2 linked regions of the Kluyveromyces lactis genome follow. The protein of the gene in region 2 binds, or shares a complex with, the protein of the main gene of each other region. Links are inferred from orthologs where the notes say so. Each region holds a gene or a part of one and is shown on either strand. Other genes may lie near its edges. The genes, in order: PDP3 and SAS3.

Region 1 (14,085 bases), on a different chromosome or scaffold from region 2:
TTCGATGAACATCTTTCTGGCGTTGACGGCGGTCCATTCATATTCCGTTTGATTATCAGCCAACCAGTTTAATTTAGTCAAACCCACTACCTTATTACACGTCTTTTCCAAAGCGGTACTGGTTTATATACGTTCTTCAATTGCTATGTCTCCTTTGGTGTTTCAAGATTGTTTTGTTTTCGGTTGATCTTATTATTTGTTTACATCTTTACTAGTATATGTGACATATTTCGAAACTGAACCGGCTTCAGTACACAACAAACCTTCTTTGGGTAGCTTGAACAAGTAGAGGAACCATTACAGATACACCACACTCCAATAAACCCAACAGTCGGGGAACCACAGGCTAGTAAGAGAGTTCAGCTTCAAGTTTCTTATGACGGCGGCTCCACCAACGTCAAATTTGCAGTGGTGTATGGGTGTGTTGATAGAATGTATTTCTTTTTGTTAGTGAACATGCCAAAAAAAATTTCAGTGAAGCACAACTCATCTCATCGCTTTCAAGACTGTATCTGGGCCTTTAGGATCCATCATTGAATTCACACTATCTCAATAGAAGGTTAACTTGCCGGTAGATTGTGCAGTGGACAGCTTTGTATTGTATAGCCGCCTGAAAATACTATGAGTAGCAAGGGTAAAGTGACAATACCTGTCACCAAAAAGAGCAAGTTGAATGACAAGTCTGCAAAGATCAGGGCTCAAACGAAAGTCAAAGAGAATGAAGTATCACAATTGGCTGATGAAGTAGATTCTGATGTGGATTCTGAAGGCAGTACAGGTTCCGAAATAGATAACGATGAAATGGATCTAAATGAAGTGTCGAGTGATGACGCCAGTGATGAAGACAGTGACGATGAAGATGTGGTGAACCAACCAGATGACGATGACTTCCCAAGAAAGAAGAAGTCTTCCAAATCCAAACACGATGATGGATCATCCACATTTTCCAGCGCGTTAACCAATATTTTATCATCGCATTTGAAAGCATACGACCGTAAAGATCCCATTATGGCTAGGAATAAGAAAGTTTTAAAGCAAAATGAAGCAGATAAGTTAGAGCAAAAGGCTAAGAGAGCTATACTCACAGAGAAGAAACAACTACTCAATAAGACTAGAAAGAAAGATATTATACCTGTTGTGGCTGCAGACGCAAACTCGGATGAAATTAGAGAAATTCTTGAGAAGGAACGTAAACTAAGAAAGATTGCCCAGAAAGGTGTTGTGAAGTTATTCAATGCAATTCTCTCTACTCAGGTTAAGACTGAAAAGGAAATCAATGACTCATTGGGTGGTGTGAAGAACCGTTCAGAGAGAAAAGAGTTGATAACGGAGGTTTCCAAGGAGAAGTTCTTTGATTTGGTGAAAACTGCTGGTGACAGTTGAAAAGAGGAAGTTCTATATGATAGAGGGAATCATCTGCATTTATTAAAGCGCAAAACTATGTACATATATAGGTAATCCCAAAGACTGTATAATAGACTAATAATATTATTAATTACAACTTTATCGAAAAAAGATCAGATCAGGTCAGATGAGGGATCAAAATCCTAACCCTCCATTTGAATATGCCATTGGTTTAATATCTGGATGTGGTGAAGCAGAGAAAGTTTCTATTACCAAGTCGCTGTCGATAGATGATTTCTTTTCAGATTTTGTGTTTGGAACAACATGAATGATTGCACCGAGGTTGCCACCGGCGTCACAGTAGTTAGGAGCACTGAAAACAGTGACCAATTGATTCTCATGCTCAAATTCGTAACCGCCTTGTCTAACTTCATGAGACCTGAAGATTCGCTTTAAATTATTCTGTTTCAAGAACTTTCTAGTAATGTCAGGCCCAAACGCATTACTTAAGCCACGAGGAGATGGTCCAAATCCATCCGGAGCCTGTGGATCCGCCCATAATAACTCCATAAATGTTCCCTCTCTTGGTGGTTGGTGGAATCTATCAATTTTCTTCATATCTTCTACAGTGGCAGAAGTATCACTTGGCAAACCACCATGCACGACCAGGTATGAACTATTGATGACAGTGGCTAATGGTAGAGATTCGAAGCTTTGTGAGAAAAGATCGAAAATGCGCTGGGAGTACTTGTATTTGCATTCGTCTTCAAACCCGTACACTTTATTCATGCTGTTGGTTTCATGATTACCTCTGTTCAAGTAAATGTTCTGTGGATACACGATTTTCAAAGAATAGAATAAAATGGCCACTTCACAAGACCATGATCCACGGTCTACGAAATCACCATTGAATAAATATACATTGGAGCCGCCTACTTTCCCATAACTTTTGAAGATGTTCAGAACATCATAAAATTGACCATGCGTGTCACCACATACAGAAATTCTTGTATCCGGCTTTTCTCTGTTATCAAGTTCAACAACACTGTTTTCTTGCTTGAACAAATAGTCTGCATGAGAAATGATCGCTGCAACGTAAGCCTTTGGAAGCTTTTTACCTTCTAGGAAAATCTCATTAATCATATAAGAAATGAATTCCTGGTTCATATTGTTAACTCTGACACCAGCATTGGCCCCAGAATCTGACTTCACTTGTTCGAATTCCAAGGTTTTACCATCATATTTGAGGAGATCGGCATTTGCATCGAATGAGCTGATATTTAAAGTTTGACATAAATCAACTTTAGAAGAGTCTCCACCGCTAATAGCTTTTTCAAAATTCTCCTTCTGTATGACTTTATCACAGATTGCTAATGCATTTTTTGCAGTGAGCTCGTTAGGCTTGAATTTCAACACAATGATCAAGTCCTTCCTTGCCTTTCTAAACTCTAGTAGCCCAATGTAAGACATAGCTCTGCGGTGATAGGCTTTCAAATTGTTATTATCCAATTCAATTGCACGTTTAGCATCGTCTAAAGAACTTTGGAAGTTATCCAACTTTAGGTTGGTGAACGCACGGTTTGAATATAGGATCGTATTCTCGGGATCATGCTCGATGGCTTTTGTATAATACTCAGCTGCCTTTGCGTACAGTTTCTCCTTCACGAACTTGTTACCTTCATTCTTCAGCTCTAAGGCTTTCTCTGGATTACAGGCTTTCACTTCCTCAGTCATTTATTCAATAGTAGTGGTAAAAAAGCAGCCAACTGGTATGGTATGTGCCTTTAAGTCCTCAAGACCGATAAACGGAGCCCATTTTAAAGTTTTTTCTGATGTGAGTCTTTCTCTTCTTGATGTTGACTTGTTGATTTTTTTCATCTCGATGTTTCAATATTACGGCGATGTGATGAGATGTAATGTGAAGAGATTTGCGAAAGTGAAAGAAAGTACTCAATTTGGAATTGAACTACTTAAGTTTTCTACTTGAAATTATGTATTTACCATTTTATGAAGGGTAGGAATGCTGAATCAGAACCTGATTCGAAAATTGTTTCAAACCTTTCGAATTCAAGAGCAGGTTGGATCTTCAGCTTTCTATTGGTTTCTGCTTGCAAAAGTGAATCGTAAGACCAATCTAAGAAATCTTCGATGTTGTAGCTTAACTTTTGGAAAGGTTGTTGGAAAATCTTCGCTAAAGTGGCTACGTTTGGATGGTAGTGATTCATTAGCGTTTCTAGCTCCCATACTGAGGAGGAAAGAGCATTTGTAAGTTCTGGATTGGTTTCTTCATTGTTGAATGGATCTAGATATTCTTGCCTTTTCTTTGAATCGCAGTCGATGTATTCTGGATCGTGTAATAGAATCATACATGTAGGATGCTTTCTGATTAGATTGTACACGAATGGTATTATAGAAACAATAGCACCTGGTGGTGCCGATACGGATAAACGTGCCAAACGTTTGATGAATGACGCTACCAGTTGTGCGGATAAATGTGTAGAAGATAGAAAGGTGTCCACTAATCTGAAAAATCTTGATCTGTACTTAACGTGCATTACTTCTGGAGTTAGAAGCTGATATAGTTTTGAGTAGAAATTTGGATATTCTAGGTTGTATTTTTTCATAAGTTCAAACAAACCATTTAATGAAAGGATTGAAACGATACCACCTTGGTTGTAAGAGTCGGTAAGGAAATCCATAAGCTTTGTTGGTTGATGGAACCATACTATAATTCTCTTGTGTAGCACTAAAAGCACAGTTTTATATTGGCTACTGGATAAGTTGGCTAAATTTAGACAGTGCAACCAATTTGTTTCGAGGTTGGATTTAAACTTAGCATCATTCTCGATGGCTTGTGGGGGCACAGATACGAATATTTCCAAGTCTGGTGATCCCTGAACATCGTTGTTGCATAAAGCCAACCATTTAGACATCAAAATTTCGTCAGATGTTTGGCCATCAAGTTCTGGTAACAACGATATCAGTTCTGATTGTGTGTAGAATTGAATATCGAAATTCTTCTTATAATAGGCTTCCACAAATAGATTAAACACGGGATTCTCGCTCTGACCATCTTTGAAACCGATATCACCTTCAAAGTTACAATGGAAAAGAGCCACTAGTAACGATCTTAAAGTCTTATTTGGAAAGAAAGGACTATTTGGTTTCGAAGCCCAATATATCGATTCATGGTGAAGCATTTTCATATATGAGTCCAAACAATCTAAACTCAACGAGTTAACTTCATGCAAAGATGTAATGATAGCCAATAACTTAACCTTATAATTTAAATATAGTTTCTTACACCATTCAAAGAATTTCTTTTCATTGGCATTGGATGCAAGATGAGGCATCAATTGACCACGCTCAAAAAGTTTGATGAAAATCTGACTCAAAGCAATGGTCATATAACGGTAATCATCTTCCAAATTGTGCAACAATTCGTTTTCCTTTAGAAGTTCATTGTACCCATGGATTAGGTTCACCAACGAGTTGTAATGTTTTCTATCATTGCCGGTGCTAATAGACTTCCAAACTTGCTTAATCTCTTCCTTCGAGAGCATCTTGGTTAATCGCTGTCTGAATCCTTGGGAAACTTTTATATGTGAATTCCAATTATTTATTGCGAGTAATCAAACAGATTATAACGGTGAGAATATCCTACCTTAACGTTTCCTATTCGACTTCATCTCATCTCATCTCATCTCATCTCATCTCTTGATTCCAAATTTTTCAGAGATTCTTGCAATGTAGAAGACAATTGAAAAGAAATTATTCTTATCACGTGATCGCATTTCCTAATAAACTAGCTATCAATGGCGACATTAAATATATAATTTAGAGTGGTAAACCATTCTGTTGTCAGTCAAGTCTTGCCTGCATCACCTTGAATACGCACACTGATGCTCGTTCCTTCAGGGGGTGCGTATCCTCCAGTTCACGGCAGCCTATGAGCCCTAACAGCATACAAATTTCAACGATTAGTATAAAATGATCTAGCCCGAATTTCATCATATATAAGAGAAAGATTTATGAACCAAGAAATTACAAGACACAATTGGTGATGTAGAAGAGATGTAACTTTGATAGGCTTTACTTGTATTACTCTTTTTGGGCTTAAATCCACATGACCTTCCAAGTTTTAAAAGAAGACGATGATACTATTTGCGCTTTTTTAATTCTTACAATTCTTTCGTGGATGGGAATTATTTTCTGTTCATGGTTTTAATGGAGAATGTGGTGCCCTCGCAAGCCTTATAATCTTGTTACATTCTTTGAATGATTTGGGACACTTTTTATAAAATTCTGATTCTTTTTGGGAAGGTCATCCCATGTATAGACTTGATGTGAGTTTGTGTGTTTGAGTCTTGCTTCTTGCTAATATGAATCGCCTTGTGCGATTCATTTCAAAAACTAAACTAACTGTAAACGTAAACGTAAATATTAGATAGAAAAAAATGCCGTGATACGATGGTATCGTGAATATGACAAGTCGGAGCGGGAACAAATGAATCAACTATGAATCAGAGTTAGAATCTGGCACCAATTTTCATTTTCACTTCGTTACTTTTCGTTTCTCTGCTGCTTTGTCATATTCTTTTGATATGCAATTGATACTGAGTCATTTTCAATATCTCGAAAGAAAAAAGAATACGGCGATTCAAGCTCTGGTGAAAAATTTTGGAAAAAGTATAAAGAATTGATGCTCATCACAAGAAAACTAATGCTCGCTTGTAATAAGAATTGTTTATATGTTTATGTTAGGATCTTTGTTTTGTATTAGTATTGGTTTTTTACTCGCTCTTATCAATTAGATATACAGAATAACGAAGTAACAGGACCCAAGATGTGTGGTATATTTGCTTCATTCAGAAACCCTGATGTTCAGGCTTACAAACCAAAAGCTTTACAATTATCCAAGAGAATCAGACACCGTGGTCCAGATTGGTCAGGTAACATTGTTAAGAACTCTACTATTCTAGTTCACGAAAGATTGGCTATTGTCGGATTGGACTCTGGTGCCCAACCAATCACTTCCGAAGATGGTTCTTACACTTTGGCCGTCAATGGTGAAATTTACAACCATATCATGTTGAGAGAAGAATGTGCAAGCTATCCATTCAAGACTTTGTCTGACTGTGAACCTATCATTCCATTATACGAAAAGTACGATATCGATGCTCCAAAACACTTGGATGGTATGTTCGCTTGGTGTTTGTACGATTCTAAGAAGGATCGTATCATCGCTGCCAGAGACCCAATCGGTATTACCACTCTTTACATGGGTAGATCCTCTGCTTCTCCAAAGTCTGTTTGGTTCTCCAGTGAACTGAAATGTTTGACCGATGACTGTGATGAAATCATTGCTTTCCCACCAGGTCACGTATACGACTCTGAAACTGACAAATTGACCAGATATTTCACTCCTGACTGGTTGGACGAATCCAGAATTCCAACCACCCCAGTTGACTTTAAGGCTGTTAGAGAAAGTTTGGAAAAGGCTGTTAGAAAGAGATTAATGGCTGAAGTTCCTTACGGTGTTCTATTGTCCGGTGGTTTGGATTCCTCTTTGATTGCTGCTATTGCCGCAAGAGAAACAGAAAAAACTAATGCCGAACTTGATCCAGTTGTTTATGACAGTGACCCACATCAATTGGCTGGGCTTGACGAACAAGGTCATCTACATGCTGCTGGCTGGTCTAGATTGCACTCATTCGCTGTTGGTTTGCCAAACGCTCCAGATTTACAAGCTGCTCGTAAGGTGGCTACATTCATCGGTTCTATCCATCACGAACATACTTTCACTTTACAGGAAGGTCTAGACGCTTTGGACGATGTTATCTACCACTTAGAAACTTACGATGTCACTACTATCCGTGCTTCCACCCCAATGTTCTTGCTTTCTCGTAAGATCAAGGCTCAAGGTGTTAAGATGGTTTTGTCCGGTGAAGGTTCCGATGAAATCTTTGGTGGTTATCTATACTTCGCACAAGCTCCATCAGCTGCTGAATTCCACGTCGAATCTGTCAAGAGAGTTAAGAACTTGCACTTGGCTGATTGTTTGCGTGCTAACAAATCTACCATGGCTTGGGGTCTAGAAGCTCGTGTTCCATTCTTGGACAGGGACTTCCTACAACTATGTATGAACATTGATCCAAACGACAAGATGATCAAACCAGCTGAAGGTAAGATCGAAAAATACATTCTAAGAAAGGCATTCGATACCACGGATGAACCAGATTTGAAACCATACTTACCAGAAGAAATCTTGTGGAGACAAAAGGAACAATTCTCCGACGGTGTCGGTTACTCTTGGATTGATGGTCTAAAGGATGCAGCTGAAAGCACTATCTCTGATGAACAATTCGCTCAACCAAAGGCTGAATGGGGTGACGATATTCCAACTACCAAGGAAGCCTACTGGTACAGATTGAAGTTCGATGCTTTGTTCCCACAAAAGACCGCTGCTTCCACTGTCATGAGATGGATTCCAAAGGCTGACTGGGGTTGTGCTGAAGATCCTTCCGGTAGATACGCCAAGATCCACGAACAACACGTTGATAAAAAATAAGATCACTCTACTAATGTCTCTGTTATAAAATCTTATAAATATGTACAGAATAATTAAATAGAATTAGTACTTCCTCGATACAAATATACTATTTTATTTAACGTTAATGGCAAAAAGATATTTAGTGTGAGACTCTTCTATTATATGACTGGGGCATCTCTCTCATAAGCAATCTAGGATCACGACTGCTAGTATCCGAAGAGTGCTGTAGATGAACATTTCATTAGACATTGTAATTAATCACGTGATTTGATAAAGCATAGTCAAATACATTTTCTTATGTTGATGTTCCCAAGTAATTGCAAAAAGCCTATTATAATAGAGATACGTACTGCCTTAAATGTGTGTCGACTGATACGTGACTCAGTTTACCCCTCTGTTCCTGCTCCATAGTGATTTCGAAATACCATAGCCATTCAAATTGTAGAACGGCTTCAAGATTACAATTTAGTGTTCACTACTCACAGCACTTACATTGATATGAGCACCGGTGATTTTTTAACAAAGGGAATTGATTTAATACAAAAAGCCATTGATTTAGACACAGCTACGCAATATGACGAGGCTTACACCGCATATTACAATGGATTAGACTATTTGATGCTAGCATTAAAGTATGAGAAGAACCCCAAATCTAAGGACTTAATTCGAGCAAAATTCACTGAGTATCTGAATCGTGCAGAACAATTAAAGGAGCATTTGGAAACAGAACAACAGAAGAAACAAGAAAAGCCAAAAAAGGCAGCCACTGCTTCTGGTTCAGGTGGCAATTCCAATACAGAGGACGATGCAGACGATAAAAAGCTAAGAGGAGCCTTATCAGGGGCGATCTTGACAGAAAAGCCTAACGTTAAATGGGAGGATATCGCTGGTTTAGAAGGTGCTAAAGAAGCATTGAAGGAAGCTGTGATTCTTCCAGTGAAATTCCCACATCTTTTTAAGGGTAAACGTAAGCCTACGACTGGAATCTTGTTATATGGTCCACCAGGTACTGGTAAATCCTATTTAGCGAAAGCTGTTGCCACAGAAGCCAACTCTACCTTTTTCAGCATAAGTTCCAGTGACTTGGTTTCGAAATGGATGGGTGAGTCAGAAAGATTGGTCAAACAACTATTTGCCATGGCAAGAGAGAACAAGCCGTCCATCATTTTTATCGATGAAGTCGATGCATTGACCGGGCAAAGAGGAGAGGGAGAGAGTGAAGCAAGCAGAAGAATAAAAACAGAACTTTTGGTTCAAATGAATGGTGTAGGTAATGATTCCAGTGGAGTCTTAGTTCTAGGAGCAACTAATATCCCATGGCAGTTGGATAGTGCTATTAGAAGAAGATTTGAGAGAAGAATATATATTCCCCTACCTGACCTTGCGAGCAGAACAAAAATGTTTGAGTTGAACGTTGGTGATACACCATGTAAATTAACAAAAGAAGATTACAGATCTCTAGGGGAGATGACAGATGGTTATTCAGGATCCGATATTGCCGTGGTTGTCAAGGACGCATTAATGGAACCTGTCAGAAAGATTCAAATGGCAACACATTTCAAGAATTCGTCGGATGATCCAGACGTACGGAAGCTAACACCATGTTCGCCAGGCGATCCAGAAGCCATTGAAATGTCATGGACAGATATTGATGCTGATGAACTTCAGGAGCCTGATTTAACTGTAAAAGATTTCCTAAAGGCTATACAAACGTCAAGACCAACAGTTAATGAAGAAGATATACACAAACAGGAAGAGTTCACCAAAGACTTTGGTCAAGAGGGAAATTAGTTCGAATTCCAGCAGCAATTAAAAGATAATAGTAATGATGTTTCAAAATGCTTTCATGGGCAATATAGATAAATAATCATATACATAGAACGTAACTGAGTCATAATCCTAGCTGATTTTAGCATTAGAACACGAAATAACCCTGATTAATAATCCTTCAGGTATAGTAGCTTGTTCTGTTTTCGCTATCAGATATCTTTGCATCCAATATCTTAACCTTGATGATCACGTTGTCATCACCTTTGATATAACAATTAGCATCTGGATTCACTCTTAGTAGTTGCTTTTCATAGTAGTCGGATTCTTCAGATGATGGATCAATAACTGTCGCTGTACCTGATAGCGTGGCTGACATTTGTGATAGTTCAGATTGATTCAACTCTTGCAAAAGGTTGAGCAACCTACTTGGTTGTTCTTCAGAATCATTAGAATCTGGCACTGGAGTATTGGATACACTTGTTTTCCTCAGAGATAGTTTTTTTGCTGTGACCCAGTCATGGATCAAAAGAGATACAGATGGGTTAGCAATAATATTCTTATACTTTTGAGTAGACTTTGATGTGGCAAAGATAACATAATGACTATTGGAGCCTTCTTCATGAAAGGCTTTATGAGGAAGCACATATGTGTAGTTCATCAATGAAACATTAGGAATGCAGTCTTTAGAAGCTGTGGCTAAATGAACATATTTGGATGTTTTAAGCAAAGATACTAAATGCTCTGGCAAATCAACGGTAGTGGACATAACAACTTGAAAGTTATTGAAGTAATACTTGGCGTATTTGATAAACAATAAAAATTTACAGGAAATATAATTAAAATATCGGTTCCCTAATGTGCTAGCTTATGGGAAAGATGTCTGATGTTTGTAATGAAGTGCACAATTTTGCTACCTTAAAGTCATTTTAAAGGTTTTGGCAATTTTGTTAATAATAACAATTGATGGGGAACAGAGCGATAAACGTAAATAATGATACATTATGATTGAAGGGTCCAAGAAAAGAAGGAATAGGTACGGTGAGGTAACTGGAGAGGTGGTAGGGATGAGATTATGTAGGTTAATGTGATAGATTTTACATGAGAATAATGTCAGAATTGAATTGAATTTGTTATAAAGCAGTAATGCATTGTTTGTGCTTTCCTTTTGAACGGTTCTTTTGTGCTCTTATTATGAATCGAAGATATTAAAAGTGACAGTTGTGATCCACTCTATGGGGATAGCGAACCCTTCAGTTTCAGTTTTTCCTTTTTGATCTTTTGAACATGAGGTGCCCACACTTCCAATATAGTGTTACAAGATTCGTGAAACTGTGATAATTCAGGCATACTAGAAATGACTTTTAATAGTTTATGCAATTTGGATACCCTAAGGGCTTCTAAATCAAAGAATTCCGGTGTTGATTTAGTATGTGATAGGATTTTCCTCATGAGTTTATCAGACTCGGCAAGATCTGCATCTGTTGGTGGGGTATCTCGTTGAACCAAACACTTCTGTAATTTGTTACGGAATATTTGAGCAATCTCTACCCTACGTGAGTAGTCAAGCTTACTGCGTTTCTTGGGAGGTTCTTCTGGTACGAATGAAGGAGATGTCGAGAGAGATTCTGATGAGCTTTCCCTCTTCTTCTTGAAATCTGAAACAGATGTTGCGACAGGTGTAGATACCGGTGAGTCTCTATTTTTGTTTCCACTACTGGGCGACTTTTTAGCTTTGGTACTTCCGTTACTGTTATTATTGGAGGTAGAATCCTCTGATTCGCTTTCATTTCTTCTTCTGCCCCGTCTTTTATCCGTAGATTTAGTGTCTTCCAGTTTTAACTCAATATTGGAAAGTAATGGGTCCTCTCCCATCTTAACTTCAGCGATAGTTTCCAAATCATCCGCTCTTCCCTCCGCTGTCAACCTGTCTTCGACAAACTCTTGCAAACTCGTATAGTCGGATGCAAACTGGTAAGCTTTCTTCAACTCTTTCGAAGACCTTTTGGGCGGCGATTTTATCCACGCTTCTATATTTTCCTCAGTAAGAAGTTTTAACTGTTTTGGTTTAGTCCAATAATAGGTAGAATCGTTAAAAAATGCCACAGCAACTTGACCAACGTTCTCCTTCGCCTTCAGCACACTCTTACTCAATATCCGTTGAGGAACAACTACAGCTGGCCATGGTTCGTAACTGCCCACGGTGCAAAGAACCAGGTCACCAGTAACTAAAAGCCCGTCTGTCATATTTTGCTTAAATAGATTGTGTATTCGGATTGGTAAAATCTGTAAGTATAATGGAAAGGAAACTAAAACCCTAAATGTCAGGGCGTAAAGATCAAATAGTAAACTCTGATATCTCTCTTTCTCAGTTTCTTGAGCACTCAATAGGTAAACACAAATAACGGTTTCGACAGAAAGAATGCTAAACGCTAGAATAGAAGCTTTAAAATCTTACGCTCTAACTTCGCACTGGCAACACAAATAGCAAAGGAAAGAAGAGGCCGTATAACAGAATTAACTTGACCTCCTTCCCTAAATGAACTGAGATGAAAACGAAAACAAAACTCTTAAGCTACCAGTAATCACTTTTCTCACACACAACACCACAGTAATAGCTGCGTGTGTTCTGACCAGTGAAAGACTGTTTGGACGAAATATGAATGGGAACTTCGGCAATCAAAATTCCATATCAACTGCTCAAGAAGCATATATTGAATATAATTTGAAATAATTGATTGTTTTGTTTTGGATAAAAAAAAAGCTTTAAGGTCGGAAAATGGAATAAGTAATTAGGAATTAAAGGCATACGTATTTAGAAGGGTAACTTTACAAGATCAATGAACGCACATTAGCAGTTGACGAATGCGTTTTTGCCGGATTGTGCAACTAGTTTGTGGTTCGAGTTAATATGAATAAGGAGGTATTTACAATTTAGTGACGTCTGTTGGGAGCTTACGTTTTGGACCCTTAGAACGTACCTTTGTTAGCATTTTCTTTGTCTTCGCATTCAATGCGTCAGATGATGAGTTTGCAGATGATGCAGTTGACGACGCCAATGCCGATAGAGAGGCCTGACTACTGTTGATTGTTTTAATCAGTTGCTTTTGGAACTTTGAGCCATGCTTTTGTAGGCTCTTTAATGATGAAGAGGATTTCTTTTCAATTTCCGATTCCGTTGAGGATCTCAAAAGAGCTTGCCTCTTTGCCATCGCTTCAGGTATTTCTTCTACAGAACTGATAGAAGAAGGAGGTTTGTTCAGTTTAGACTTGGCTTTAACTGCTTCTGGAGTGATATCACGACGAGATGGTGCTGTGTGGGTCTTACGTAGCGATTTTCTTACAGCGAAAAATTCGTTTTGTTCGTCATATTCGTCATCGTCATCATCATTGCTGTTGTAAGCATCGTCATCAGATGGTAACGAAGGTCTTGATGATCTCACTTTAGGGTTTCTAAGTTCAGATTTTTTTGCAGGTTTCTTTGGTGCAACTTTACCGTTCTTTTTACCGTTGCATTTGGACTCTTCGTCGGTGGTACCCTGAGACAATCTAATTTTTTGGAAAACCTCGGAGAATTCGTCCACTGGATCAGTGTCGATGATGTTGTACTTGGCGGTAGAAGCCTTGCTAGAGTCCTTGCTAGAGTCCTTGCTAGAATTTCTTTTCTTTGGTGGAGGCGGAACTGCCTTTTTCGCCTTTCTTTGTGCAGCAACCGTTTCGGCGATATCATCGTGATCCTTGAAATTCCTGGAAGAGAAGACAGGTCCGGATTCGTTTAAATCGATCTCGTCATCGGATTCATCTTCAAACGATTTTTTGACCTTCCCATTCTTTGCACTCTTCTTTTTCTTTTTATCGGAGTCACCTCCAATTCTCACTGACAACGGTTTGTTACCATTGAATTCAGTGCCATCATCGTCGCTGATGTCCACGTCCGAGTGACGATCATAGCCGCGGTAACGTCCAGGACGTTCAGGCTCATTCAGAGTTCCGTTAATCACTTTAGGGTTTGGTTTTGGTTTCGGTTTTGGTTTCGGGTTTTTTCCGGAATTTTTTTGGACCCTGACATCGAAATCTTCTTCATTTCCAGACAAATTACGGGCAGAACCTCTCGAAGGAAAATTATCAGGTCTCGAGACAGATTGACCGCCTTTCATACTCATCAGCATCTCATAGTCCTCTTTTGACACCACAAACTCACCCTGTGAGTGCTCTCTGTCCCTATAAACATCGTCGAACTTTGAGATCCTACGAGTACCGTTTCCCAAATTTTCATAATGACCATTGTTGTCATCTCGGTCACGAGCCGAAACGCTTGAATCACCATTCTTCTTTGGTGAAAAAGTCTTATCGTAGTTGTATGCCGACTTATAAGCTAGACTAGATACTGGCCTATCTGTCTCTGTATCGTACTGTGAATT
Region 2 (18,575 bases):
TCTCCAAATTCAAATAATGTTTCTGCCAATATTGCTGAAGAACTTATCCCTACCGCTATTGTGATTAAAAACATCCCTTTTGCCATCAAGAAGGAACAACTTTTGGAAGTTATCGCCAAGATGGATCTACCACTGCCTTATGCTTTCAACTACCATTTTGATAACGGTGTGTTTAGAGGGTTGGCCTTTGCGAACTTCACTACTACGGAAGAAACTACAACGGTTGTTCAAAGCTTGAACGGCAAGGAGATCGGTGGAAGGAAATTAAGAGTGGAATACAAGAAGATGTTGCCACAAGCAGAAAGGGAGCGTATCGAACGTGAAAAGCGTGAGAAGCGAGGGCAATTGGAAGAACAACACAGATCGATGAGCAATATCTCGTTGCAATCCCTAGGTGCCACGCCTTCCTCGGCACCACCAGGTGGCCCTTCAATGGCCTCGAACAACTCCTCTTCTCAGTTGTTCAACTCATTCATGAATGCAGACTCTGCAGCTCCTGGTTCTGTCTCAATGGGCACTGTTCCTCCAAGTCCTCAACCGTCTATTCACCATCATCATTCCCAACTTTCTGCTCAAAACACTGCAGCATCTATGTCAATGCTGTCAATGCAAGGGCTTCCTCAAATGTCCGAGAGATTCTATGCTCCATTACCAGCAGCTGCCAACCTCGTGTTGCCACCTCAGCAGCTAGATTTCAATGACCCTGACACACTTGAGATTTACAGTCAGTTGCTTTTGTTCAAAGATAGAGAAAAGAGATATTACGAATTGGCTTACCCTATCGGTGTATCAGCCAATCACAAAAGGGTTATTAACGTACTATGTTCATTCTTGGGTCTTATTGAAGTCTATGATCCAAGTTTTATAATAATCAGACGTAAGAGCCTGGACCATGCCACTTTACAAACCCATCTGCAACAACAAGGCCAAATGGACATGATGCAACCTTTACAACCTTCATCAACCGGTGGTTCCATTTCCAGATCTCAATCTTACACCAGTTTACTCCAAGCACATGCATCGATGAGTCATGGAATACTTTCACAACCCAACGCTTCTAAAAACTTGGGAAACTTACAAGGCACATCTACTCAATCAGCTGGACCTGTATCTAATGCTTCTACTACAGCTACTACGGGCAGTAACTCCACTGCAAACCAACCACCATCCCCAGGTCAACCTTTAATGCAGACATCTTCCTCTCTTCATCAGGATAATGGTGCTAGTTTGAGGAACCAAGTCACAACACCATCCATAATGCAGAACAGAATACCATCTGGTTTCCAAACAAATACTCAGCAACACATGACTTCTTCTAGTCTGTTAAGGAACCAGGGTATTTCTCCCCCGCAACAACAGATTGGCATAAATCAATCTAACACTGTGCGGGTTCCTTCTTTATACCAGTCACAACCAGGCACACCAGGCATCAACGAAAACAGATTTGCGCAATTAACTTCTGCTCAATTGCAACAGCAACAATCTCAACAACAACAACAACCTCTAGCACCGCAGCATACTTCAGAGTCCATTCATTCCAACTACAGTGTTCATTCTATCCACGACTATGTTCCTGGTTCTAACAACCAAGGTTACCAATCGGGCTCTATATCAGCTAGTGGTGACATGCTGGATGATGGTTTGACCAGAAGTTTAAGTGGATTGGATCTAGGAAAGAGACATGGAACTTCGGCTACTAACAGTAATAATCTATGGAGCTGAGTTTTTCTACTGTTTTACCTGTCTCGACTTTACTTAATACACTCTCACAACTTCCGTAAACACCCTTAATGTTACCAAAGTTTAAAGCGATGACAATAATGATTACGATAATTAATATGAAGCCTCCCCCTCTAAAAAATAAAAATCACTTGACGATAACGGACGGTAATACCCAAATTATTACCACACACTATAAACTTAATACTGTTATACACATACACATTGACTCCGATCTATCTTTCGTTCCACTCCTCCCAATTTTCCTTATTACATGAACTGTTCTTAAACAACCCAAAACCTGAGTCAATTTCTTCTCGCAATCTGATTCAATGTAACTACTATCCATCCTTCACCTTCTTTCAAAAGTCGATGAGTAACGAACACTAATTAATGTACTTGTACGATCTATATAATCTTTACTAATCTATCACACACTATTTGATATGCTATTTGGCACTTGGCTAAATGTAAATACGTTTCAAACAAGAGAAGCGGATGATTTATGAGGCAAGAATAGGCACGAGTGCATTTGGCTGCTGGAGAAAAAGATAAACGCCGCCACATCGAAACATCATACAGATAACTCATCATATGGAGGAGTACCAAGGTCTGGCAGTTTCCGTTAATACGACTGAAACAATGGTGAACTGTTCGAAGCTCTCTGTGGACGAAGAAGAAAAGAAAACCAGAAAGAATTTCGGTGCATTCAAACCAAGCTATGCAAGAAATGTGGTGTTTCTAGTGGAAAAGCCAATTTTCTTTGCTGACAAAGAAACGCAGCATTTACGTGTTTACTGGCAGTTCCTGAAATACGCCCTTTTCTTTTATCACTCGAGGTGCAACTGGAAATGCAATTTCAGTTTGCCGTTCAGCAATAGGAAGATTCCATACAAATTCGTAAAAACTTTACTGAAAAAAAGAAAAAGCCTGGCTCTGATTAATAATCGCTATGAAGCTCAATAATCATGTTTCGAATGTCAAGTTCTCTGAAGAGCAAACAAGTGTCCAGTTTAACGGCGTGTATGGTTGTTCGTAATTACGTATGAGGGCGTGGCTGTACTTTGGTTTCTCCAAATGGTGGTCTAGTAGCTACATAGAAACAAATATTATCCTTACTAAAGTAACAGAACAGAACAGAATAATGATGGTTTACAAATCCAATCTTTCATATAACGAACTAAAGGAGAAAACTGGGAGCATACAGTAGTTAGTACATAGCAACACGCACACACACTCGCATATATACACTTCTCTGTCTCAACTGATCGATTGTCGAAAAAGTATAAAAGAAGCACGGTCACCACACTCTTTCAGAAAAGTTCCCTCGGACAATAATCCTCTCATCGGATCAAACTATCCATCTCTATACCAAACAAACATCAACAGGTAAAAGCAGAAACATAACCAATAGGAAAAATAAAAAGAAGCAATGTCGTACCCAGATAATTTTGAAGGTTTTGCAGTAGTCGATAGCCACAAAAAATGGTTAAGTCCAGAAAAGGTTGTATACCCTGCCAAGCAATTTAATCCAAGAGATGTTGACATTGAAATTGAGGCATGTGGTGTTTGCGGTAGTGATGTTCACTGTGCCAAGGGTAATTGGGGTGAAATGAAGTTGCCGTTGGTTGTTGGGCATGAAATCATTGGTAAAGTGGTTAGACTTGGTGATAAGTGTGATACCGGTTTGAAGGTTGGTGACCGTGTTGGTGTTGGTGCACAAGTCAGTGCTTGTTTGGACTGTAACCGTTGTAACAATGACAACGAACAATACTGTCCAAAATTCGTTACCACTTACTCTCAACCATACTTTGAAGATGGTTATGTTGGTCAAGGTGGTTACGCATCTCACATCAGAGTCCACGAACATTTCGTGATTCCAATCCCAGAATCTTTAGAAACCAACAATGTTGCACCATTGCTATGTGGTGGTGCCACTGTGTATTCTCCATTGAAGAGAAATGGATGTGGCCCAGGTAAGAAAGTCGGTATCGTTGGTATCGGAGGTATTGGTCACATGGGTATTCTATTAGCCAAAGCCATGGGTGCCGAAGTGTACGCCATCTCTAGATCCCATGCCAAGGAGGAAACATCCAAGCAATTGGGTGCAGACCATTACATTGCCACTGAAGATGAAGGTTGGGAAACCAAGTATTTCGATACATTGGATTTCATGGTTCTATGTGGTAACTCATTGTCGGCCGTTGATTTCGGCAAGCTACCAAAGATTTTGAAAGCTCAAGGTGTTATTGCATCCATTTCTGTCCCTGATCAGCATGAAGCCATACATTTACATCCAGCGCAACTTCTAGGATTCCAGATTACTCAATCTTGTCTAGCATCTCGTGCAGAAATCATTGAAATGTTGAACTTGGTGGCTGAAAAGAAGATCAAACTATGGGTTGAAACGGTTCCAATCAGTGAGGAAAATATCTCCACAGTGTTCAAAAGAATGGAAAGCGGTGATGTTCGTTTCAGATTCACACTAACTGACTTTGATAAACAGTTTGACCAATTCAAAGCCAAGAAATAGGCGTTGAACTGTATAAATTATATAGATGGTTGACACGTTGTTCATAGCTTAAGTCACTTATATATACATACTATGACATAAACGTCAAAATGGAAACACACATAAAATACAACCTACAATTTATACACATTGCAAGGAACGGCTTTCATAAACACCAGAGGACGGTAAGGGTACAGTAAAGTGCATGAAATGCAGTCACTGTAGCCAAGGTTACCTTTCCAGTAACCGAAAATTTCTCGAAGAAGAGCAACAAGATCATGGGAAATATTTGCTAACTGAGCTGGTATGAAAGATACAAAAAAATACAGATATCACGTGACCATCAAGAAACCGAAATTTTTGATGCAGCAGTAACATGGATCTGTATTGTTTTGCTTCATTTCATAGGAGAAAGAATGATATAGGCAACCGGTTTTTGTAAATGTAAGACCTAGATTGCTTGCTGTTAGTTTCGTTTACTATAACTCGGACTTTGTGAGTTCTTGTGAGAATGTGTTTTTAGAATAGACATTCTTCTCTTCTAAAACTAGTAAAGGTACTATCCTCTCTATTTGTTTACCTTATATTGAAAGAAGAAATAATAATTCATCAAGTGGCAGTCATCGCATATTTAAGAATGACGACTTCTAAGCGAAATAGACTGCTGAAGGAACTTCTGATTGATGATAATATACATTCCAAAGTACAGGCTGATTTATGGGACGCTGGAGATGGTGGAGTACGACGGAAACGCACCAGAGATAGACATGACAAGTCGTCGGATCATATAGGCTATAACGGTGCTGATGATTCTGGGGTGCAACCGGAGAAGAATAAGGACAAGAAACTTAAAACGATTGTTATACCATCTGATTGGAATGAGATGAACAGCCATGTGCAATTTTCAGACGATCGTAGAATTATTACTATCAGGTATAATCCGTTGAAGTTGCTTGATTTCAATCAAGTGTTGAACAGAGGCAGCGATCTCGACGTAAAAGTACCGTCAATTCCGCTAAATGGCATTGACTTTGAGATATATGAAACTGAAAATTTGTTAACATCTCTTGATAACGATGCTCAGTTCCCTTATCGTGGCGCAATTGAAAATAAGCAGGATTATACAACTCATAGGACCATTCCTCGTGTCAAAGATAGAGAGTTTTTTCTAACTTTGCTGCGTAAGTCCCAAACAGCAGCTCGTTTCAATGGTAACACACTCCTGGCATTTCCAAATGATGAAGCTCATAATCAAGATAAGAAACGGTTAAAGCCAACAGCTTTGATGCATTCTGCGAAGACAACCAACGTGGAATATGTTTATTTCCAAAATTATGAGATCAAAACTTGGTATAAGGCTCCCTACCCTGAAGAGTATAACAAGAACGAAATTATCTATATTTGCGACAAGTGTTTGAAATATATGAGTTCAAAGTATGTCTATTATAGGCATCAGTTGAAATGTGATTATATCCACCCGCCAGGAAACCAAATTTATAGAGATATGGACCAAGGGTTCGCCATTTGGGAAGTAGACGGAAGAGAGAACGTTATTTATTGTCAGAATTTATGTTTACTAGCGAAACTTTTTTTAAATTCGAAAACTTTGTATTATGACGTGGAACCCTTTATGTTTTACACCATAACAGTATGGGAGGACGAAGAATGGAAATTTGTTGGATATTTTTCTAAGGAAAAGCTAAACTCAACTGGTTATAACCTAAGTTGTATTCTTACTTTACCACATTTTCAAAGGCGCGGTATCGGACATCTACTGATGGACTTTTCATATCTCTTATCAAGAAGGGAATTTAAACTAGGCACTCCCGAGAAACCTTTGAGTGATCTTGGTTTGGTATCTTATCGAATATACTGGAAAAATAAGATGGTGCAAACGCTTAATATGTTATTTGAAGAACTGGGTGATTCATTCGCTTGTACCATAGACGACTTGTCCAATCTAACCGGTATGAATCATTCGGATGTGATATTCGGCCTGGAACAGATTGGATGTCTATACAAATACAACGATGAAGCCTCAGGTAAATGCAAATATGCAGTGAAAGTAGAAGATTGGGATATCTTGTGTCAGTTATTTGAACAGTCTAGAGCGAAAATGAAATATACTTTGGACCCTTCCAGATTTGTTTGGAAGCATGTCATTTTCGGTCCTTCGTGTGGAATCAATGCCGTTGGAACCATGGTAGAAACAAATGTTAGCCAGCAAAGAATTACGTCTGCCGCTGGTTCAACAGCTGCTGATCCATTCAAACAAAGTATATCTGTTCTAACGAATTTTATGAGTGACGATTTGGCGGATCCAAGAACGATGGAAGAAGCTGCAATGGAAAAGATTAAGCAACAAACTATTCCTGTATCCTTGTCTGATAAATCTTTAGTTCGAGCATATACACTTCCAAGCAATATCAAGGAAAAAATCATTAAGGCAAGCAAAATAAAACCTGAATTCAAACAACTCAATACGAAGCTCGGGGGGACTATTCCAGCTCTCAATGAAGGTACACCTTCTGGCGATGCTTCTGATGCCAAAACACTGATCAGCGGAGGTATGCACGATGATATAAATGGCGATGAGCAAGAAATTGAGGAAGAGTTTGAAGAGGCAGACGGTTTAGAAGATGAAGGTTTCTCGCTAGATGATGCAGAAGCTGAGGAGTATTCAGATGATGATGAAGATGATGATCAAGTGCCACCGCCTCCAGAGGAAATAGCGACTCCTAGGGTCAGTAGATCTCTAAGAAAACTCAGACAGCACAATCCCGTAGAAAATGAAGTTCAGCAAAGACCACAGAGAGTCTTACGGAATAGAGTTTGAATATTAATTAAAGGATAACCTAATCATAGTAATGCGTGGCCATGACATGTGTTTATGAGAAGAAAACTGATAATAGTGTAATATCTAATATATGCATGTATATATGTATATGATTGTAAGAATAGCGAAAATTAATGCCATCATTGATATAGCAGTAAAATGTAAATAACAAAACAACGTAATAGTACGCACTTTTCATTTAAGTGTTTATGCAAAAGGAGCAGCCCGTGTCCCTTTGCTATAATAAACTGAATAGGGACATTATTATGACAAAAAATAACCATATGGTACAGTTCAAATGATTTGGCATAAAGATAACACTGTAACAGTATTATTGATGTTCTATTGTAGTTATAGTACTTGTACAATGGGGTCATAATCAGGAAAGTGTGTGCGTTTATGTGATAGTAAATCAACGACAATGATGATTGAAGTAGCAGCGACTGGCGCCACGATACACTTCGGGGTTCATGTTCATACATGTCTGAAAGTGGTTTGTAAAGTAGTTTTTTAAGTTTTTGGTTCTTGATAATGGTATTAATACAGACAGTTTATCATCAAACAATGTGCTTGAATATCGTATTCAAACTAGGCAGTGGCTGAGTTGGCACTTGCGGTAGTCGATGGTTTTGTGGTGGTTGAGGAGATTGCGATGAATTCGGAGTGAACTGGGGCGTTTGTTCATTACTAGCCTGTGTTTGAAGAATTTGCTTCGGTACGCTGGCAGGCATCCTATTGCCATAAAAAGATGAGTTGTTCACATCAGAAATAGTTGGAGAATGGTCTCTCAAGGAATGAGCGTCCGGTGAAAACACTGGCGATCTCTCACGAGCGGAAGAACCAGTCGAAGATGTTTGAGAAAACGTAGGAGATTCATCTCTTAGCTGAGTTGGGGCAATAGAGTCTTCCATGCGGCCAACAATCTCTACATCAACATCAACATCGTCAATGTCGTCATGCTCCTCTACGGCAGTATCTGGTGAGTAAGTAGAGTGGACCTCATCTGAAGAACTCGATTGATTAACATTGGCGGAAGGACTAGCAGTACTAACTGCATCGCTAGGCGTTATATGTAACGAATCCATTCTCCATTGGATCTCTTGTTCTGATCTATGAGGTAACAAGATTGAAAGCTCATCAATGGACAAGTGGTACCTTTGACGTTTTTCTACCAACAACTTATCCTCATCGCCAGACCAAGGTTTTGCAAAGCCATTGAATGATCCAACGGCACATACGGATGAAGGAGGGGGTTGAGAGCTTTGTTTTATGGGCATATCAATGAAACCTGCTTGCATAGACTCACGTCTAAACTGAGAGACAGAGTTCCTTCTAGACATAGATGGATTCGTCGTGAAGCTTTCTCTCCTTGGATTCGCGGAAGATGCGGGCAAAGTTGATGAAGGCATGACAACAACGGAAGATCTTCTAGAAGATCCGTTAGAAGACATTGGGATGAAATGCCTGTCGGATGCTACGTTGAAAGAGGAACGTCTGGAGCGCGAGGAGAAGGAATTTTTCCTTGATTTCGTACTGGCCAGGTTTGGCAAGTTCGATTGTGGAGTGTTATTCACAACGACCGCGGAACCACGTCTACTCTTGATGAAGACTTTTGGAATAAAACCAAAATTTTCCTCTTGATCATTGAAATGGGGCATATTTGGTGGGGCGTCCTGTGAATGAGAGGAAGACCTGGGCTTTATAAATTTCCCATGAGGAGCAGGAGAAGCAGTAGAGAACGGAGACTTGGACAACGATCCGGAATGTGCAAGTCCGTTTACCGATAGGACACTAGATCCAGCTGTAGCAGCAGATGACGAAAAAACACCCATGTTGCTATTGTTATTATTAGTAGCACTCCCACTACCATTCAACCCATGAGGTGACGAAAGAACGGCACTATTGGTAACTTTTGAGGTCGGAATTGGCATGGGCATGGGCATCGGTCCCGTAGAACTAGACTTCTTTGCCGTATTCTTCTTCGCCGTCGAAGAGGACCCAGTGTTTAAAGATTCCGCGCTCAACGTAGGTCCTGCAGAAACAGCCATTGGAGCAAGTACTGGAACAGTCACATTTAACAACTCATCCTCCTCCTCATCCTCCTCCTCTGGCGACTTCACCGTCTTTAAACTGCCAGATTTTAACCTTCTCCACCGAAATTGGCACGCGTTAGGAGTTCTATTCGTAAAATACTGAGCAATATCCTTCCATCCCAGTCTTTTCACCTCTTTCAAGTGTCGCAACAAGACATCGTCCTGAGGTTCCCACGAACTCGGAGTCCTACTGGAAACGTTTTTTGGTGCAGTCATCTACCCTTTCACTTAAAAATATTGTGAGTTATAATTGTAAAGTATCAGCAACCAAAACAAAATCCACTATTTAGAGCAGTAAAACCAAAATTCAGCTCAAAAATTTTCGAAATGTAATCAAAACGACAGTAACAGCTTTCTAATAGCTCTAATTCTCTAGCTCAAAGACCTGTTCTCATTAACACAACGAGAGGGAATAAAAATTTTGAACGGTCCAAAATAAAACCGACAGTAGTTTATGAACGATTTTTCTTTTTAAACAACAAAAAATCGCCTTAAATTCCTTCCAAAATCGGCTAACAATAAACTAACGTATTGACAGTTATGCTCTGAGTCGATATCACTGAGGTCAGACTGAGTACTGAACCAATAAAGACAGGTTTCTGCCTAGGAAACAAAGAGTGTCAAGTTAAATGACAAGACTCGATGAGGTCGAGTTTAGTGGCTTTTTCTTCGTCGCGATGAGTTGGAAAAAAAAAAAATTTCGAATTTTTTCAGTGTGACAGCGATGAGATGAGGTGACAGGTGAGATGAGAAGAGATGAGATGTGATGTGAGTATACTGAGTGAGGGTCCTGTATCTTACCGTTCACGTGTCTTTTTTTGTTTTTTTCGTCTGTGTACTTCTTGCAAATGGGGTTCCCCGGTTGGTTTGGGACTGGTGCGTTAGTCTACGCCTTCGGAAAGCTATTGCAGTAGTGTGTAGAATGTGTCAAAATAAGCTTATGGGAGGTAGGGGGATGCACTCCGGGAGGTGATAAGTGCGTTGGTAGGCCATTGGATAGGCTTCGGAAGATACCCATTACACGATATTTTTGGACATCGTGTGGCATGTACGGTCTGTGAATGTTTCCATGCGGACTTGAGTCACAGAGTGGAGCTTAACCTTACATCCGGGTAACACTCGAAAATTCTGTACAAGCCATCTCACGATGCGCAAGAGGATATGCAACTCATCCCACTTCAGAACGATAAAAGGACTTCCTGTTTGTTTGGCATATTTTCGGTTCATTATGGCCATTGTATATCACTGTGAAACAGCTTCTACACTGTATATGTCCAGAGCACTTCAGAAGATGACAGGTTTGAAACAGATAAGGTACTTTGACATTGGGTTCAATATCTCTGATCACATGTTCAAAGGGAAATACCATGGCAAGAAGCAGCACGAGACGGATTTATCCAATATATTGAACCGTTGTAGATTGACTAATGTGGATAAGCTGCTGATTACCGGATCTTCACTGGAAGAATCGAGACATTCCATTAAGCTTTGTAGTGAATTTGCAACTGAAAATGGACCAAAGATGATGTACACCATCGGGGTGCATCCGTGTCAGGTTAACGAATTCATGCCCAAACACTCAAAATCGTACCGGAAATCAGATTCAAGCGAGGATCTTCCGTTTGCAATTGAAAACCATCAGTTTACCAAAGCTAGATTGCACGAATTGTATGATTTGTGGAAACTCCAAGCAATGACCGATAACGAGCATTTCAGGGCCATTGGTGAAATTGGGTTGGATTATGATAGATTCCATTTCTCGGGACTGGAAATCCAAAAGTTCTTCTTCCTGGAACAATTGAAGTTAAGTTGCTTCTTCCCTGATAAACCGTTGTTCTTACACATGAGAAGCTGTGCTGATGATTTCTTGCACATCTTGAAATTATTCATCAATGGTTTCAACGATGATAAGGATTTATTTGGCTATAAATCGTGGATCGATCCAAGCGTACCAGATTCACCAATATTGAATACAGACGGCTCTGTAACTTATAAGTTCAGTGCTGCGAGGAAATTTGTCGTTCACTCTTTCACAGGATCAGTACAAGATATGGAAATATTACTGGATTGCTCCCAAAATTGCTATTTCAGCGTCAACGGCTGTTCAATGAGATCTGAGGAGAGCATTGAAATGATTAAATCACTTCCTGTTGATAAATTACTACTGGAAACAGACGCACCATGGTGCGACGTGAGAAGGACACATGCTTCATACAGATTTTTGAATCAAGATGCAGATCCCAAAATCGAAAATTGTTGGGATCATGGATTATCTGCTGCATACCCCACACTAGACCAATGGTTCAAATCTGTCAAGAAAGAGAAACTTCAAACAATCCCACGCGAACAATGGGATCTGTATATGGTGAAGTCTAGAAATGAGCCTTGTACAATGGGGCATGTGGCGACAGCAGTTGCTAATATCAAACAAATTCCATTGATCGATCTAGTTGACCAAGTATGGCATACTTCTTGTCTTGTTTACGAAGATTGAACTTGTCGCCTTCACACTCTATACTTCAAGGTTTCATCGAACCTATATTCAATAGAAAATTAAAGCGTGATTTATTAATGATAAAAAAGTAGAATATACATAGAGAAAAGTGAGGTTGAAAATAGCTGATAGAGATCTGAATTGCAACTGTCAAAGTTTTTACATGATATTCTGTTCTATCTTAGTCATTAGAGTTTGTCATGTTGTTTAGATTGTTGAGATATCGTTGTATTATTATTTTTTTTTACTTTAATGAAATATGAAAGGTTTTGCTGTATAACTCGTTGCCCTTCCAGGGGTCCCAGAATTATGTCGTAAGGCTGTATTTCTAATTGTAACAGTAATGGCACAACTTAGTGAATAATTGATTAGAATTCAAAATTGGATCGAATATATATTATCGGAATATATCAGGAGAATACGAGAAATAGAAAGGAAAAGATGATGAAAAGATAAAGATGAACAACATTGGATGCAAACACGTTAAAGTTGATAGTGTGTAATATTTTTGCAAGGAATAGTACCTGCACAGTGATTACAACTGCTCGCTTCCGTCTTGCCCTTTGTATCGAGAGTGGAAAATAAAAAAAATAAACGCACAAAGAATGAAATAATTAAAAAATGCAAATACGAGTTCAATCTTTTTTCACTTCAGATTCTTCAACTTCATCAGCATGAGTTGGTTCGTCTGCTTCATCTTCTTCATCGTCTTCATCTTCTTCTTCAATTTGTGACCTTATTCCACCACTTAACGACGCCAAAACTTCCGATAATGCAGTACCATGGATGTAAGATAAGTTGTTCTCGCCAGGCGTTATCTGAATTCCACCGGAACCAAGTATGGCCTCTAGGTTAGCGAGGCTAGATGCGCCTCTGTCAGCACCAACTTTTCTATCATCATTGTAATCAGTTTCATCAGATTCTCTCTTGTTTGTTACTTCAAAGACATGATCGTCATTTTCTGGGAAATCATAGAAATGGAACACAGCTCTTCTTTGGTTCTCGAAGGAGTTTGGTGGAGTGTAATTCTTTGCTACGATACGTTTATGCCAAGCAGTTTCGTCTTCGTCTTCTTTCAACAACGCTACAATGATAATACTCATGTTATCACAACCGATACCCGTTCCTTCAGTGGTTGGAGAACAACAAACGTCGATAATCTTGGAACTTATTTCTTCTAGAGTTAATCCTTGTTTTAACCCGTAATGCACCAAATCAACACAGTCCTGGGATGTTAGACAATCCCAGATACCGTCACATGCCAGTATAACAAATTCATCACTGTTGTAATCTATGGTGTGTTCAATCAAATCTGGTACACAGGTAACAATCTGTTCATGGGGAGCCAAATCTGGGTTGGATTTGAATTCAAAATCACCGATGGCACGAGACAAGGCCAAATTACCATTAACACGGTCCATTTCCACGAACCCATCAGCAGTGACGATTCTGGAATATTCAGACTTCAACGTAGGTTTATGATCGTACGATAACGCCTTAGCAATATGGTTTCTTGAAAGAACAGTTCTTGAATCCCCAGAGTTAGCACAAATCATTACATTTTGTAATTTAGAGATTAATAAAGTCGTTGCAGTGCATCCACTATGGTCGTTCGCTAACACGGGATCCTTCAAAAGCTCTTCATCTGTCGCAATAAAAGATTGAATAAGAGCCTCGTTGTAAGACTTCTTCTTGAAAGCATCCTGTTTTTGTAAAATCTTGGAGAACTGTGATCCACAGAACTGAGCAACGCTTGAACCACCATGTCCGTCAAACACACAGTAGTACGCCAAATGCTCCTTCTCATCATCAGAAATGTTCAAATCAACAATGTGAGAATCTTCCATAGACATACGCCATCCTTGCATAGCACATAACCCAAAAGCAGTCAAAACATCACTACCAGAATGTTGTTCCTTATCAATTACAGGATTAGACAAAATTTGACCCATTGTTTCTATTAAAAAAAGGCTTGTTATTAGTCTCTTCGTCCGTCCTTTCAACCAATAAAAAGGATGTGTCGACTGTATTGAAATTCTTGGAGAAACAAACTTCAATTAAACAGTACAGCAGCTTATTGTACCACCTTCTTCCAACCAATTGCTATCTTGATCCGCTGATATCTTTGAGGTGGCGAAATAAACAACTCTTCCTTTTAATATTTTCGTTTCAAAACAACAAAATTGCCGAAAACTTGTGACAAAGGTTTCACCAAATTCAACATCTGAGCAATGGAAAGAAGTGATATAGCAGGGACCCTACGGCTTTCATCTGGATTTGGGGGGACTTATCCAATCCATACTATCTGTGGACTGCTAAACAGCTTGAAATTGGGATTTCTAGCTGATCTTTGGCAATATTAGGACACAGTGTGCTGTATCTAGCGTTGGAATCACCAGATGTCCATCACGTGACTTCGTTCTCTCGGTTGTAGTCTCAATTACATAAAGCTTGTTCTTTCCCTTATAAGGACGGTTATTGCATCAGTGACTAAGTAGCTCGGTCATATGTATGTACTATTGAAGCATTGGAATTGACAGCTAACACCTGTCTGTGTACCATTTATCGTGTCTCTTTCACTTCATTATGACTCAATTTCATAGTATCCAGACTTTGGACATTGAAAAATTTAACAAGATGAGTTAAATGACTTGTCTATAAAACAGTGAGCATTGTGAAATATTTGGAGCAACCCACCATTGCAGTCCTAGATTTGAGTATATCTGGTTGTTATATTTAGGTAAAGAAGTGATTAGAGATATTCTTACAGAAATATACACTAAAAATGGCTTCTGATCATATTACTATTCAGCCATCAATTGAGGTGATTAAAGAATGCATCGCTGCTAATGATGATTCCATCAATATGTACCCAGTATACCACTTCATGCCAGCAATGGACCTTACACCTCATGTGGCGTATTTGAAAATGAGTGAGTTGAACAATAAGGAGAGGTCACCATCTTTTCTATTTGAATCCGCAAACGGTAACCAATTGAGTCGATACTCGTTTTTTGGTCATAGTCCACGTAAGATTATCAAGACTGGTCCTACTGAAGGTCAAGCGTGTGACCCATTGAATATTCTACAAGACGAATTGGCTCAGTATCGATTGGCTGAAAATGTTCCAGGCTTACCCAAGCTTTCTGGTGGTGCTATTGGTTATGTTTCTTACGACTGTGTTCAGTATTTTGAACCAAAGACGAAGAGACCATTGAAAGATGTGCTACAAGTACCAGAATCTGCTTTGATGCTATACGATACCATTGTTGCATTTGATCATGTTTTCCAAAGGTTCCAGATCATAACTAATATCAATGTGAAGACGGTCTCATCTTTGGAACAAGGTTACGAAGATGCATCTGAGATTATCAAACGCATTATCGCCATCTTGAAGGATGAATCTAGTCCGATACCATTACCTGAACAACCATCAATCAAATTGAACCAGACTTTCACATCAAACATTGGTCAAGAAGGATACGAACAGCACGTGAGAGATTTGAAAGAACATATCAAGAAGGGTGATATCATCCAATGTGTTCCATCTCAACGTGTCGCTAGACCAACTTCACTTCACCCATTCAATATCTACAAACACTTGCGTACTGTGAATCCCTCGCCATACTTATTCTATATCGATTATTTGGATTTCCAAATCATTGGTGCTTCACCTGAATTGTTATGCCAAGTTGATGCCAAAAACGAAGTTATCACTCATCCCATTGCTGGTACAGTCAGAAGGGGTCAGACTCCAGAAGAAGATGACAGATTAGCGGAAGAGTTGAGAAATTCTACTAAGGACAGAGCAGAACATGTGATGTTAGTTGATCTAGCCCGTAATGATGTGAACAGGGTCTGTGATCCAACCACCACTTCCGTGGATGAGTTACTTTCAGTGCAAAAGTTCTCTCACGTCCAACATCTTGTCTCTCAAGTCAGTGGTACACTAAGGAAGGATCAAAACAGATTTGATGCTCTAAGGTCTATTTTCCCTGCAGGAACAGTTTCTGGTGCTCCTAAGGTCAAGGCCATGGAATTGATCGGAGAACTGGAAGGTGAAAAACGGGGTGTTTACGCTGGTGCCGTTGGACACTGGTCATATGACGGAAAATCCATGGACACATGCATTGCCTTGAGAACAATGGTTTATAAAGACGGTATAGCCTATTTGCAAGCTGGTGGTGGTATCATATTTGATTCTGACCCATATGATGAGTACGTAGAAACAATGAACAAAATGAAAGCTAACCACAATACTATTCTACAAGCAGAGCAAATTTGGGCTGAGAAAGTTGGCACTCAAGACTAGCGCTGTATATGTCATATCCACTAATAGTTGAACCTGAACCTTTCCCGTTTCGTTCACAGTATGTATTCTATCGTGTATTCACATTAGACTTGTTATAGAATTGTAAAAAGGTAGCTTTAAGTGTACCATGGATGCACATATGAATGGATTAATGCCACTGGATAAATATACGAAAGGTAGGAGTAGGAATCTGGTGGTCTAAAGTACCAGCAGACGTCCTACTTCATACGTTTCTATCCAGCAGTTGCATATAATCTTTTCTTTAGGAAAATTTTACATTAAACCGATATATTCCAAGTGATGACAAGGAGATCACTGGCAGAGCATATTAAAGCAGAGGAAACTGACACTATCACTACAGCTACATCAAACCATAACTGCTATCCAGATGGCACCATCATCGTTGAATTTAGCAGTGTTGTTCACGCTGTCAGCATTATCTCTGACAACTGGATATTATCTTGGACAGATAACACCATCAAGGAAGGATGAGATACAAGAATTGTTGAAACAAGCGAAGATTAAGGCTGAGCGAGATGAGCAAGCGTATGCCAGTGAACATGACGATGGTGATGAGGACGAGGATGAAGACGAATCTGAGGATGAAGATGAAGATGAAGATGGCATTGCAGTAGATTCCATATGCCTAAATGACATTCCTGGTGAAGTAAGGATGGCCTTGGTTATCAGGCAAGATTTGGGAATGACTAAAGGGAAAATCGCTGCTCAATGTTGTCATGCTGCATTAGCCTGTTTTAGGCTTATTGCGTGTGATCCAAGTAGAACTTCATATAATCCGGAGATGACTCACAGATGGTTGGCAAGAGGTCAAGCAAAGATTACTTTAAAATGTCCAGATAAGGAAACAATGGATGAGCTCTTCGCTAAGGCTATTGCATTAGGAGTTAACTCATACGTTGTTCATGATGCTGGTAGAACACAAATTGCAGCGGGAAGTGCTACTGTTTTAGGTTTGGGACCTGCTCCGAAAGCAGTCCTTGACCAAATTACTGGTGATCTCAAGCTTTACTGATACTTCGATCTCTCAAATCGTTGGAATAATCATCGACTGCATAAACAACTCTATCCTGAAAATATAAGGATTTAGGTTGTCTCCGTATATTTAAACTTGTACATATGTAATAATCTTTGTAAAATTATACTATATTTAAGATTTATACCCATCTTTGGACCACCACTGCATTGCATAGGTCTTGATCTTTCAAAGTGGAGTCAAATTCGTCAATGGGTTTTACGGGAAATGCATGGCTTAGTGTAAATGGGCGCATTTCTGCTGTGTTAGCTTTAACATGCTGGTACAAGAATCTGATGGTATCTGTAGAGTTACAACGTAACACCTCCCTCTTCCCAGAAGCATATCTGATCTGTACACTAGTGTCTCCCTTTAGCTCGTCATCTGGCGATTTTTCTTTGATTTCAGTCCCTACTGGAGTAGATTCGGCAGGCGATGCTGATTGAGAGTTTACTGCATCACCAGGAATGGGTGAGCCCAATCTCTTACCTGTTCCTTGGAAGCCACTCACTTTTCTCTTAGGTGGAACGTAAGGCTCTTCCAACTTTTTATAGACCGTGACATCGACCTCTTGTCCGAATTCGACGTCCAATAACTGCAAAGGAGCTCTTCCTTGGTTTAGTTCTTTCAAATAGAAACTATTTTCTGGGTCGTCGTAACGATATAGTTTGCCATCACCGACTTGGAATCCATCTTTCCAAAACGTAATTTCCCTTGTCACTTTTTTAGGTTTTGATACGACCGGGGTATCATCCTCAACCACTGTTGGTGGAGCAGAAACATCGGATCCTAGCCTATAACCTTTACCAACAAAATGATGTTTCTTACTTTCTGCTTCCTCATTCTCTTCTTCCTCCTGTTCTGCTCTTTCACCGCCTCTGCGTGCCTTTTGTAAAAGATCCCTAATTAAAGAATTAGAGTCATTAGCGTGTGGGTCGGTGATTTCAAGTCCTGAAGTCTCACCGCCAGCAAAAGTGTTCCGATCTTCATCTTCATCATCACCTCCTTTCAATATATCAGAGAAGGATTGGAATTTAGACTTAGACTTGGGTTTCTGCGATGGAGAAGGTGTTGACCTAGGTAAAGCAATCTTTTGGCCACTCAAGGTTCTTGCGTATGTAACGTCATCTTTCGCCGAGGAGTTAGACAATTCACCCTGGCTAGCAGCTTTTGGAATCGGCTGTTCAAAGGATGCTTTCGTTTTAGGCTCTTGCTCATCCTGTTGGGTAGCATAGAAGGCATTCAATGCTTCTCCCAAGTCACCAAACTGGTTTAAATAATCTGAAGCGACATTCACTGAGGTGTTGGTCAATGCGACAAATTGCTGGATTTGTTCGTCAGACATGGTAAATATCGTATGTGGTATCTCAGATTCTATATCGTGTTACAATTGTAATTGTATCGTCGTAATGGAGTGCAATATCTTGCCATGACAAGTGGCAAGTTTTCCTTATGGCATCTCTACCTAAATGAAATTGTCTTAATTTGAAAGTTCATTACTTTTCATAGAAAAACCTTTAAAACGAATCTGTAAGAAAAGGAAAGTAACATGATAAACACAGACATCTTAGGCAGG

The links.
Region 1: SAS3 (region 2) and PDP3 share a complex: the UniProt entries of both Saccharomyces cerevisiae proteins name them as parts of the nuA3 histone acetyltransferase (HAT) complex. The link is inferred for Kluyveromyces lactis from reciprocal best matches to the Saccharomyces cerevisiae genes SAS3 and PDP3.

Annotation. Positions count from the first base shown.
Region 1 is NC_006038.1:944,941-959,025, reverse strand, and holds PDP3 (Pdp3p), read right to left. Parts: upstream 11,912-14,085; coding exon 10,898-11,911; downstream 1-10,897. Other genes in the region: KAR3 (Kar3p), read right to left, coding at 1-41; rRNA-processing protein RRP15, read left to right, coding at 622-1,383; PPT1 (protein serine/threonine phosphatase), read right to left, coding at 1,540-3,078; ribosome biosynthesis protein NOC4, read right to left, coding at 3,342-4,907; ASN1 (asparagine synthase (glutamine-hydrolyzing) 1), read left to right, coding at 6,191-7,915; AAA family ATPase VPS4, read left to right, coding at 8,396-9,688; KLLA0_B10824g (pyridoxal 5'-phosphate synthase), read right to left, coding at 9,846-10,433; BSP1 (Bsp1p), read right to left, coding at 12,592-14,085. UniProt on the Saccharomyces cerevisiae protein: Histone-binding component of the NuA3b histone acetyltransferase complex. Targets the NuA3b HAT complex via histone H3K36me3 to the coding regions of actively transcribed genes to coordinate transcription elongation.
Region 2 is NC_006041.1:1,766,910-1,785,484, forward strand, and holds SAS3 (histone acetyltransferase), read left to right. Parts: upstream 1-4,868; coding exon 4,869-7,067; downstream 7,068-18,575. Other genes in the region: PIN4 (Pin4p), read left to right, coding at 1-1,722; KLLA0_E19867g (uncharacterized protein), read left to right, coding at 2,314-2,685; KLLA0_E19889g (NAD(P)-dependent alcohol dehydrogenase), read left to right, coding at 3,152-4,252; KLLA0_E19933g (SANT/Myb-like DNA-binding domain-containing protein), read right to left, coding at 7,625-9,376; KLLA0_E19955g (3'-5'-exodeoxyribonuclease), read left to right, coding at 10,308-11,654; KLLA0_E19977g (PP2C family serine/threonine-protein phosphatase), read right to left, coding at 12,290-13,606; anthranilate synthase TRP2, read left to right, coding at 14,440-15,966; PTH2 (aminoacyl-tRNA hydrolase), read left to right, coding at 16,355-16,999; protein phosphatase regulator SHP1, read right to left, coding at 17,142-18,344. UniProt on the Saccharomyces cerevisiae protein: Catalytic component of the NuA3 histone acetyltransferase complex, that acetylates H3K14. The NuA3 HAT complex has 2 functionally distinct forms.